Macaca fascicularis: one gene and its partners. The protein of the gene in region 3 interacts with the protein of the main gene of each other region in a pairwise test. Links are inferred from orthologs where the notes say so. Each region holds a gene or a part of one and is shown on either strand. Other genes may lie near its edges. The genes, in order: DBNL, HMBOX1 and SH2D4A.

Region 1 (4,341 bases), on a different chromosome or scaffold from region 3:
TAATGGGAGAAAAAATACACACCTAACACTAATGTACTATTAGCGAGTGAAGCAGGTGCTAGAGGTGACACATGAACCAGGTAAGATCAATACCAAGATATGGAGTAAGCAGGGGCAGGAGACAGATTCAAGACAGAGAGCTGATGTCATGGCTGCTCCCCACTCTGCCTGCCTTCCCCAATGCCAGCACTGTGTGTGTGAAACCTCTTATGCCCCACCAAACTAGAGACCACCTCTTCTTCCTCTGATATCTCTACCACTTTTTCTGTATGAATCTCTGTCCATCCTTCATCCAAGCATCTGCTACACATAACAACTGTGCCTCAGGCACCAAGGACAGAGAGACCCCACCCCTTCCAGTAAGAGATAAAGGTGACAAGAAAACCCATAAGGATTTTCAGCACATGTTGTGTCTGGCATGTGTCTGAAGGAAGTCAAACAGAAAGATGGGAAAAAGTGCCTACAGACAGGGAGCTAGGAATCAAGGAAGGCCTCTCTGAGAAGGCAACCTTGGGGCAAAGAAGTGAAGGCTGGGGACAACGTGGAAGAAGTGTGCTCCACGCAGAGGAAGCAGCAGAGCAAGGACTCTGAAGAGGAACCAACTTGTAAGTTTGAGGAAGAGAAAGACGGCCAGAGTGGTGACAAACAGGTGTGGCCACAGTGTGGTAAGTAAAAGGGGTGGTAGGTTCTGGGTCACGCAGGACATCAGCAGAGCGAGGAGTCTAGGCTTTATTCAACATGCAACAGGAAGCCACTGTAGAGTTATAGACACGGAAGTGACATGGTCCAGATATTTTTCCGCAGTGTGCAGGAATCTACCACACAGTATCTGCTGTAACCTTAATGGTTGTGACTATGAGGGTGGAGGCCAGTGGGTCATGCTGCTGAGTAACACAACCTGTAGTGCTACAAGAGCCTGAAGGTAGGGAGGGAGCATGGCATGGCTGTCTGGGCAGATGAGTCCAGTGAGATAGGTGGGTTCTGACTTCATGAAGGGAAAGAGGAGGTTCCACAACCCTCATGAGGGACAGAGAGTAGATGGGGTGGGTAAGCACCAGGCCAGGAGTGGTAGCAGACAGCTCTGGTAAGAAGCCCAAGGAAAGGCTAGGAACATAGGAGGTCTGAAGAGGGAAGCCCAAACTGCCAGGTGGGCTAGGAGGCATCATCCCAAACCAGTGATGGTTCCTCAGAAGACTGATGATGAAGAGAGACCTGGAAGAGAGATAGATCAGGAGTGCCAGGAAGCTCCTAGGTAAGTCTGCCAGGGTAAACAAAGTGATCAAGAGCATGTTAAGAAGCAAAATCTTTAACTGGGCAGGGCTGGAGAGGGGCAAAGATTCTTCTGGGTTCTAAAGCCAAGTGGTATCATGAGGACATGAAAATGGGGCACTCATTGCAGAGATGCTTTTGACTGGGTTTGAAGTAACAGGAGAGGCCTAAGAGAAACACGAACAGGAATAGGAGAGAGGCAAAACAGGGGGCTGACATCTAGAAACTCTCCTGAGAAAACTAACACTGACTGACATGTGGGTAAATCTGAGGGATTATAAAGCAGGCAGAAAACCCTACCAAGGAAGTGACGAGACATCCTTCTTTAGATGCCTCCCAAACAGAAGATGTGCTGTTTGGCATAAGTGCCATCCAGGGCACCCAGACCTGACAGGAGAGTCTACAGACACCCCACAGACCTAAGCAACTGCTATTCTAAAGCTCTTCCCCTAATGGCCCGGGGCGGAGGAAAAGGCAAAGCCATAACATCCTCAGGGTCACAACAGTACACTGCATAAAAGCCGCTCTGTGCTGGGCACTAGGAAGTGCGGAGGAGATGAGAAAGCACTTGTACAAGTGGAGATGGCCCCCATACAAGGGGAAGACAGTCGGGAGGGCCTCAGTGCTGACCACAGGGTGGCCCCACCACGACTCAGCCTCCAAGGCCCAGTTTCTATTCCCCAAAGTTGGTCACCTTAGCCCACCATACTCAGCATATTTCTCAGAATTGGAATTTCTCAAAATCGGTCAGCGAAAACAATTTAAGCAAATGGGAAAGTGAGGATATCTTGGGTGGGGGAGGGAAAATGGGACCTTTTCCCAAATAGATAGCGAGCATCCTACTTTCGTACATCTTCTCATGTCTCAGGCACAGGAAAGAGTACACTTTTTGGAGAAAGAAACGTTCTGAAGTCCATGTTCACAGAGAGCCAAGAACCCAGATCCCCGAGCTCCTCGTCTGAAGCCCCCAGGGCAGGGCTCACATTCACAGCCTGGCCGCCAGGCCGTTCTCAAATGCCCATCTCTGAACACAGCGTTTGCAAAAAAAAGGGCGTGGCTTCCGCCTTCTCAGAGAGGGCTATGCAGGGCCCCCTTCTCCAGGGAAGTCCCAGGGCTGGAAAGAAGAACCTGGCGAAGCTAGCAAGCACGACCAGGCCGAGGATCCAACATGGAAGCCCGCGGAGCCCATAGTGGGTGGCGAGCGGCAAGGGGAGGGGCGGGGACTCACTAGGTCCCTGCAAGCCGGGTTTAACTTTTCCACAATCGGCGGGGCAAGGGGTCACGGGGGGAGACAGCACTCCTGCTGCGGTGTGGAGGGGGCAGACAGGTAAGCCCCGGGCCACCTGCCGGGGTGCAGCTCCCTGCTCGCGCTCCCGCTCCTCCCGGGTCCCCGGCTCGCCCCAGACAGACCCACCCCTGAGGCAGCCCCTGGCCCGACCCTGGCCCGTCTCGCCGCCCACCAGTCGGTCGGGGACTTCTCGGTGACCACCCGCACGTAGGCCTCCTGCAGCGCTGGCCCGTTCCGGCTCAGGTTCGCCGCCATGGCCCGCCCCGCAGTCTCCGCGCCGCTGCTGCCGCTTCCGGGCCGGACCGCCCCTTTGACAGCAGACAAGCCTAGCCTCCGACAACCGGAAACCCCGCCCCACGGCAGGAAGCGGAAATGACAGGGGCCAGCTGCACCCGCGGGTCCTAGCGAGTCGTCAGGCCCCCTGGTCTAGCATCCGGGTCCCGCGAACGCCGAAAGACAAGCGGGAGAAGCGAGGACTCGGCTTTCTGTTTGTCCTCAGGGAGGGATCCTGGGGCGCGGACTAGCTGTTTTCTGGTCCCACGCAAACGGCAGCTTGACTTGGAAGCCTGGCCGAGAGGACCCAGTCCAGCCCCCGCTAGCTGCTCTCACAGCACCGTGCTCATTCTTTTCTAAATCTTGTTATGTCGATGCGCTTATTTGAGAGATCTTGGGTTCACTGCAGTCTCCCTCCAGACGAGGTCTTCAGCCTGTTTGTGGACCCTCAACAGTTTGATCTATGAATGAAACATGCATAAATGTACGAATACCCGGATAAATGAATGCTAAGTGACGATCACATCGCTACAAACCTAACTGAAAGTGCCTTTGTGCTTTCTCACTCTCACCTGAGTTTTTCACTCTGCAATTTGGTGGAGGCCAGGATAGTGGAGGCGTGAAGAGAACCTGCCTTGTGCTTCACCTGCACATCTGGATGGTCGCCCCTAGAAGGTGTCAGTAATTCCTCAATCTGCTCCCCTCCTCCAGTGAACACCAGTTTTTCCATCCACAAATCTGCCTACACTGACTGAACTAGCTTCTTATCTGCGTGATAGGGAAACATGCCAAAGCCCAAGGCAGCTCACAGCTTCTTTCCCTCCCATGGAGAATAACTCCCCTTCCTCCTTAAAATATAAATCCGGCCGGGCGCAGTGGCTCACGCCTGTAATCCCAGCACTTTGGGAGGCCAAGGTGGGCGGATCGCGAGGTCAGGAGATCGAGACCATCCTGGCTAACACCGTGAAACCCCGTCTCTACTAAAAATACAAAAAATTAGCCGGGTGTGACGGCGTGCGCCTGTAGTCCCAGCAACTCGGGAGGCTGAGAATGGCGTGAACCCCGGGAGGCGGAGCTTGCAATGAACCCAGATAGCGCCACTGCACTCTAGCCTGGGCGACAGAGAAAGACTCCATCTCAAAAAAAGGAAAATTATATATATATATGTATATGTATAAAATATATATGTATTATATATATATAAATCTACAGTCCCCTAAGTCCAGATGTGCTTTGGAATTCAATCTAAGATTTCAGAAAAGTTATACCATATATGTCCTGTATACTCTGTAAGCCCTTATCACAGGATCTGGAGAGGAACTGGTAATCAGACGTGTTCATACTTTTGCTGTGATGTGTGTGAATAATCAGCTAAGTGGAATATAAGAAGACTCTAAATATCCTCATGGCCATTAAGGTCAGTTTTTGCTACCAAATGAACTACCAAAATCTTAAGGTGTTTGGATCTGGATGGTGCAGATAAGGGCTTGTGGACCTAATTTAGAAAAAAA
Region 2 (3,649 bases), about 9.8 Mb from region 3:
CAAATAGACATTTAGGTCATCTTCTGTATTTTGAAATTAGTAAAAACAGTGCTGTTATCTTTTCATATTTTTTGCCAGTATATCTTTAAGATTCTTTTTTTTTTGTTTGTTTGAGATAGGGTCTTTCTCTGTCACCCAGACTGGAGTGCAGTGGTGTGATCACAGCTCACTGCAGCCTCAAACTCCTGGGCTCAAGCAATCGTCCTGCCTCAGCCTCCCAAATGGCTGGGACTACAGGCATGCCCCACCACACTTTTTTGTATTTTTTGTAGAGATGGGGTCTCACTATGTTGCCTAGGCTGGTCTCAAACTCCTGGCCTCAAGTGGTTCTTCCACCTCAGCCCTCCCAAAGGGTTGGGATTTACAGGTGTGACCCACTGGTCCTAAGATAATTTTCTAGAAGTAGGAAGGTCAAGTCAAAGGGTAAACTCATAGGTAATTTTCCTTGATATTGCCGAATTCCCTTCCATTAAGTTGTTTCATTTTGCATTTCTACAAGTAATGTATGAGAGTATCTGTTTCTCTACAGCCCAATCAATAGAAAATGTTGCCAAACTTTTGGATTTTTGTTAATGTGATAAGAATAGTATCTCAATGTAGTTTTAATTTGAATTTCTCTTGCTATCAATTAGATTGAGCATATTTTCATATGTTCAAGGACCATTTGCATTTTTTTCTCCTATCTTTAGCCCAATAAGGATAGAGTTGTTGGTCTTTTCTCTTTTAAGAACTCTTTATTAGAGATAATAAAAGTTGCAATTTTTTTTCCCAATTTGTCTTTTACTTTGCTCAGCTTTTTCTCCCTCCAAAGTTTTTCTTTTAATTTACGTAATCATATTTATCGATCTTTTCCTTTATTGTTTTTAGATTTTGAGTCACAGTTAGGAAATATTTTTCCCATTTCCAGGATATGAAGGGACCACTCATGTTTTCTTCTATTATTTATATGGATTCATGTTTTCTTCTATTATTTATATGGATTCACTTCTTTGACTCATTTGAAATTTATCTTGATATATGAAGAATGGAATAATTTTTTACTTTTTTAAAATTTCATTTTAATTTTTGAGATAGGATCTTACTGTGTCACCCAGGTTGGGGTACAGTGGTGCAATCATAGCTCACTGTAACCTCAAACTCCTGGGCCCAAGCAGTCCTCTCACATCAGCCTCCTGAGTAGCTGGGAATGTGGGTGTATGCCACCACGCTCAGACATTCTTTGAATTTTTTGTAGAGATGGGGTTTTGCTATGTTGCCCAGGCTGGTCTCGAACCCCTGGCCTCAACTGATCCTTCCGCCTTGGCCTCCCAAAACTGAAATTATAGGTGTGAACCACCATGTCCAGCCTTACTTTTCTCTTATACTAATATCTGAGTAAGGCTTTCTTTGCTGGTTTTACAGTCTATGCATTATGTATTCATTTGTCCATTCAGTCAAGAAAAAATTTTATGTGTCATACTAAGGGCAGGAATTTTGCATTTCATTTTGGAAAACAAAAAGTTACATTTTTACAGAACAAAAATCATACTGTGACCTTCTGTACTATCAAGTATTTTGAAAGGTTTTCTGCACTTTTGCAACTATTGGCATAAACTGCATCCTCTTTCTAGTTGTGCCAGGTAACATAAAATTAAGCCAAAGATAACCAACTCCTGCATTAGATAAAGCCATTTGTTAATTAAAGTTAAAAAGCATAAATTAAGACTAAATAGGAGTCACAGAACAGGGTAAATGCTCAATATCTTTTTAATTAAAATTCAGTGTGATTCTGTGTCTAATTCTTGTCACCTAGGAAAAATAAGAATCCCTAAGTCTCTGAGGTTCAACTCTGAAAGTACATTAGGAATATCACCTATTGATATTACTGTCATCAATTTTTTACTTAATTCTTTCTCATGCTGACATTTTGTGATAAATATATACTGGTATTTTCATGAAAAAAACTAACTGGCTAAGTCACTAGCACAATTAGAACTTAGCACCAGGTAGAAACTAATACCTAAAGGAAAATGTACAATATTGAAAATAATTTAGGTTAGACATTATTTTAATTCTCACCTGCTGTGTGCCAAGTTCTAAAGAAATTTTCAAAAAGAATAAAAATTCCTAGATGAGAAAAATAGAGCAGATTGTAAATGTCAGGTCTCCAGGACAATAATGTCTCATTCTTTCACTTTAATGACTCAAGAATATAAGGATTCATTATTCAATGAATGGCTTCTGCTCTTATCTATAATAAAGAGAGCGAGGAAAGGAATAGATGACAACATCAATGGATAACCTATAATCTCATTTTGGATACTGGATCTCACCTTCACCTTAAGCAAACCTATTAATTTCAACCATATCACATGAACAAAAACATCCGAATTTCGGCATTTTAAATCTCCCTCTCTTTCAGGTAGTGAAGTTCATGAGCTGGGAAATAATCAGAAAGTAGCAGGATGAGAGATGGCAAAAGTCTTAGATGACATACTGGCTATCAAAAAACTTCATTTTAGACAGGAGTTACAGCTGAGAATTTGTGACCTAAACAAAGTTAGTTGGGTGTAAGTCTTCCGACTCTGAGTCCAGTGCTCTGTCCAATATACCAATTCTACTAGTCAGGTCAGATAAGAAAAATGTACAGCTGGAACATTATTACCTAACTGCATATAAACAAAATTCCACTGAAAAAAAATTCTGTAAACATCACTTACAAGTAGATGACTAAAAAAGATAATTCTACTATAGGATCTATGCTAAGTATGCCAAACATTTCAGAATCATAATTAATTTATACCATTTCAGATGGGAAAATTGAAGCTACGGTCAAATTTAGGTTAAAAAAAAAATCACTGAGTACCTACTATGGATCAGGTACTGTAGAATGAGAGGATAAATTACTAAAACAAAGTCAAAAATAAGTATTTTTAACCTTTGGGACAAAGCTTATTTAGACCATACTCCTTATTAAAGAAAGTTAAATCTCAGTAGTCTCCTATACAATTATTCAATATTTTTGATGAAAAGAAGACTTCAGAGAGTTTTCCAAAATATAATACAAAGATGTGAATTCAAAAAATATTTATTCCAACATTTCTTAAATTACTGGGGACACTATTATAAGTAAAATAAATTGACAGATGCTAACTCCAGCTTTATGAATTCTCAATGCTAAGATCACCTTATTTCAATAATACAGCATTTATAATATTCTAATGCACTTTTAGAGATAGAACCAAGATACCCAATTACTTGTTTGAAGTGAAAACTGTCCCAATCTATCCAGAGTTGATGTCTTCCCTAAGTTTGCGAGATTTCTCATAGAAAAAGGAGACACATACCTTTCCATAACAGCCAGGCACTCCTTTCTCCAAGTAAATCGACTCCCTCGTCGTAGTCGGAAAGTACCAGATGTGGCAGAGACTGGGGGAGGCGTTTGTCTCCATTCAGGGTCCTCTATTGGAATGGGGGCTGGTCTCATACTTAGTGTAGCGCCTGAAATAAATAAGACAGTTTTAGCAAATATCTTGCAGTTAATTTAAACCAATACGACATCTACCTCCTATGGGACTAGGGAAGTATGGTCTTTGGCTTAGTGACAACTTAATCAATGTATCTTTCTCTGAAAAATTTCTTTTGAAATTCCTGCTTGATAGTTATACTT
Region 3 (3,649 bases):
CTGCAGGAATTTGCTGGCTTCCATTCTGAAATTTCATACATGGCGCCACATCCTGCTGTTCTGATTCTGGGCACACAAATAAACTCACAAAAAGGCCTCTGTGCTGTGGATTACAGTGAAGCTGACTTAGAGCTGGACTGCCCGGCTCTGCCGCTTACCAGCTGCTGACCTGTGCTCTGTCTTCCTAATCTGTGAAATGAGCACAGTGATGGGCTGGACTCGAAGGGTTATTATGAAGATTAAGCGAGTTAACACAGGTAAAGTGCTTAATTAAGATGGTGCCTGGTACGAGAAGTGTTAGCTGTGTTATCAGGAATATGCAGGGCGGGGGAGACAGTAGGAATGTGACTTTGGCGCTTTAAGGGTTTTAGATTTTAGGCTCTACCCACGCCTTGAATAGGACTCACCGCATTGAAAATGGGGAACAGAGCGGAAGTCTCAACCCTAACTGAACTGTTCATTTTCTGCCATGTGTGATTTCTGCGAAAGCCAACCACAGAACATAAAGACATTTACTGGAATGTCAAGGAGTCATTCCGTGTCGTTTCTTACCACTTTATCTTGGAGCTTGTGGATTTCATTGGCTCCACCCCTTCAGAAGCTGCTAGAAACAGTCAAGAAATCATTACAAGACATCCATTTTTTTGACTGTTCAAGCCTTTAAGGGTATCTCCATGCAAAATACAAAGTTAGCAAGGGGACCTGGCAGGGGGCGTGACATTACTTTTAGTCCTTTAAAAGTTTTCTCTTAATATTTGGTTCCATTTGAATTCCGGTGGTTGAATGCTGCTGAGATGATAGGTTGCAGTCAGTAGGGATAGGTGTAGTTTCATCAAGGGTCTGGCTTTGCAATGAACAGTCAGCGAATCTGAGTGCTGCGTATGCACACCATTCTGTGGTAGCCTAGCTATTGAGCGTGCTCGTCTCAAAAGACAGATGTACATCAAGGAACAACTTTGCAAGGAAGAGGAGGAAGACAGGAAGCTGAAGGAGGCCCCCAGGTGGTGAGAGAAGCATTACAAATCTAGCTGTATCAATGACAAGGTAAACGAAGAGAAACCAACACTACGATGGCCATAATATAGCTAAGTGACTTGTCTAAAGTTTAAGAGTGTTTGAATATAGTATGGAGAAACAAGATATTTGAGAGCACATGGCAAGGTGGTAAGATTATTGAGGTGTTACTGTAAACAACAAATTATTGGTCAATTTCTTATTTTTTCTTTTCTTTTTTTTTTTTTTTTTTGAGATGGAGTCTGTCTCTGTCACCCAGGCTGGAATGCAGTGGCGCGATCTCGGCTCACTGCAATCTCCGCCTCCCGGGTTCAAGCGATCTCCTGTCTCACCCTCCCGAGTAGCTGGAATTACAGGTGCCCACTACCATGCCTGGCTAATTTCTGTATTTTTTGTTTTTTTAGTAGAGGTGGAGTTTTACCATATTGGTCAGACTGGTCTCGAACTCCTGACCTCGTGATCCACCCACCTTGGCCTCCTAAAGTGCTGGGATTACAGGTGTGAGCCACCATGCCTAGTCTATTGGTGAATTTCTTAGGACACATGTGATTCTGAAAAGTTGTAGTAAGTTTTTTTTCTTACATCGTACTACATCGAATCCAAAGTCTTGTTTTCCAGAATAGAAATATTTACATAGTTTCCTTCTGATTACAAAAGTATGATGGTTTATGAGACTTAGAAATTGTTTAAAAATAGAGAGAAAAAGTATGACAGTGTGGTAATATTTTTAAGCCAACCAAATAGAAATGTGGAAAGCAGAATGAAACCTCAGTGGGATTTCCAACCCCAGGAGAACCTCTAGGAGGCCACTGTGCACACTCGATTTATGGTTTCTCTTTCACGGAGCCATGCAGTAAACTCATATAAATCAAGGATCCTTTGTTATGAACCTAATGACCTCTTCATCCCGCTAGTTTATCTGGTCTGTCCATTTAGATTTTATTAAACTAGGTTATCTAGTAAAAGCACACCTAAAACTCGGTGACCTTCCAGAATGTAGACGGATGTTCTCTCTTGCACCTGCCCTGATTTTCATGGCTCTAGTAGGTTGCCTGGAAATTACATTATCCTTTTGTGAAGAGGAAAGTACATAATTATGTTTATTTAATGCTACTTTTTAGGGAAATTGCAGAAATTGCATGGTGGTCTAGTTTTTATTTCTTCCTTTTTCTTCCTTGAACATGGCTCTATTTTGGTTTGGTTTGGGGTGAGTTACTCTGTGACATCTCAAAAATGGTATTTTCTTTTGAAATAGGTACTTTGCAGAGAGCCTTTTAATTTCTTCCTGTGACCTTTCTTTTTGCCTTTCTTTTTTCAGCCACACAGTTGGTGGTTTGTTAGGCTCTGGGGTAATCATGTGTTTGCTTAGTTGGGAGCAGGACAAACCTCTGTGAACTTTTTTTGTTTCCCTGAGATTGACCTGTATAAAGTTAGGGTTTGTTTTCTTTTTTTTGACAAAGTATCTTTAGAAATTATAGGATAGAAGTTACACAAACTCTTAACAAAGTGTGCCTCAGGTTTTCTTTTTCTGTTTTCTCCCTGAAATGAAAAGTGATACTGTATTTCCTCCTGGCTTTTTTTTTTTTTTTTAACCCGTCCTAGCCAGCGTCCACACATTTTAACATGCCACCTGAATGCGGGCTCTTTCTCTCTGTAGGTTCAGTGAACAGCATTTTGGACCGGACATTTGGTGCCAGGTCTCAGGAGCCAGTTTGCTGAATTATTGCCCCAGTCAGCCAGGATTGTGAGCTGTTCGGGAAGTTTTGTGGACACGCCCAAGTGCCAGCACAGGTGGAGGGACACCTGGAGGCCAGTTTCAGGAACTTTTGCCACAGGTATAAAAGACTCCAGAACTGCAAAGATGCTGAAACAGATACTGTCGGAGATGTACATAGATCCCGATCTACTGGCAGAGCTCAGCGAAGAACAGAAACAGATCCTGTTCTTCAAGATGAGAGAGGAACAGATCCGACGATGGAAAGAAAGAGAAGCAGCTATGGAAAGAAAGGAGTCCTTGCCAGTGAAACCCAGACCAAAGAAAGGTAAACTTAGCCACGTTTCTTTTGTGAACGTGTTGGTAGAATAACTCCTGGCTGGCTTTGACAATTTCAAACTAATCACAAGCAAAGCAAGTGCAAGTTCCAGTTTGGTAGATGAATCCTAAATGTTACTGAGAATCCAGTAGTGCAGTATATCTGCTTGAAGTCTACACACACACAGCATTCACCATGGAGTTGCATAACTGTGAGGAAATCTCTTACTTGAAATGAGACTAACCTGAAGCTGTAGTAAAAAGTCACCTATGGAGTTTGATTTGAGGGGTATTAAGAAAGGTTTCTATCTCCTTTATTGTTACTGATTCCTTATATTCTACTACCAGAACACAAAGTTCTTATATCAATATATTTATAGCAATTGTGTTTACATTTCTTAGACCTCAGAGATTTTTCTTTGAGGTATCTTTTTAGGGAACACCCTCTCTTAAAATGTAAGGAACTGCTGTAAGGAAAATAATCATAATACTATCTTTTTTTAGTGTGAATGAGTTTTTCAGATGTAAACTTTTCCTCATTACCAAAGGAATCTCTGGTAGTTTGAGAGAGTTCTTTTGAGACCATGAGGGAGGAAATCTTTG

The links.
Region 1: the proteins of SH2D4A (region 3) and DBNL interact in binary tests that used the Homo sapiens proteins (3 or more experiments, as listed by UniProt). The two-hybrid records come from large-scale screens. The link is inferred for Macaca fascicularis from reciprocal best matches to the Homo sapiens genes SH2D4A and DBNL.
Region 2: the proteins of SH2D4A (region 3) and HMBOX1 interact in binary tests that used the Homo sapiens proteins (3 or more experiments, as listed by UniProt). The two-hybrid records come from large-scale screens. The link is inferred for Macaca fascicularis from reciprocal best matches to the Homo sapiens genes SH2D4A and HMBOX1.

Annotation. Positions count from the first base shown.
Region 1 is NC_088377.1:86,295,299-86,299,639, forward strand, and holds the start of DBNL (drebrin-like protein), read right to left. Parts: upstream 2,876-4,341; 5' UTR 2,813-2,875; coding exon 2,730-2,812; intron 1-2,729. UniProt on the Homo sapiens protein: Adapter protein that binds F-actin and DNM1, and thereby plays a role in receptor-mediated endocytosis.
Region 2 is NC_088382.1:32,204,651-32,208,299, reverse strand, and holds part of HMBOX1 (homeobox-containing protein 1), read right to left. Parts: intron 3,481-3,649; coding exon 3,327-3,480; intron 1-3,326. UniProt on the Homo sapiens protein: Binds directly to 5'-TTAGGG-3' repeats in telomeric DNA. Associates with the telomerase complex at sites of active telomere processing and positively regulates telomere elongation.
Region 3 is NC_088382.1:22,384,218-22,387,866, forward strand, and holds part of SH2D4A (SH2 domain-containing protein 4A), read left to right. Parts: intron 1-2,671; 5' UTR 2,672-2,875; coding exon 2,876-3,056; intron 3,057-3,649. UniProt on the Homo sapiens protein: Inhibits estrogen-induced cell proliferation by competing with PLCG for binding to ESR1, blocking the effect of estrogen on PLCG and repressing estrogen-induced proliferation. May play a role in T-cell development and function.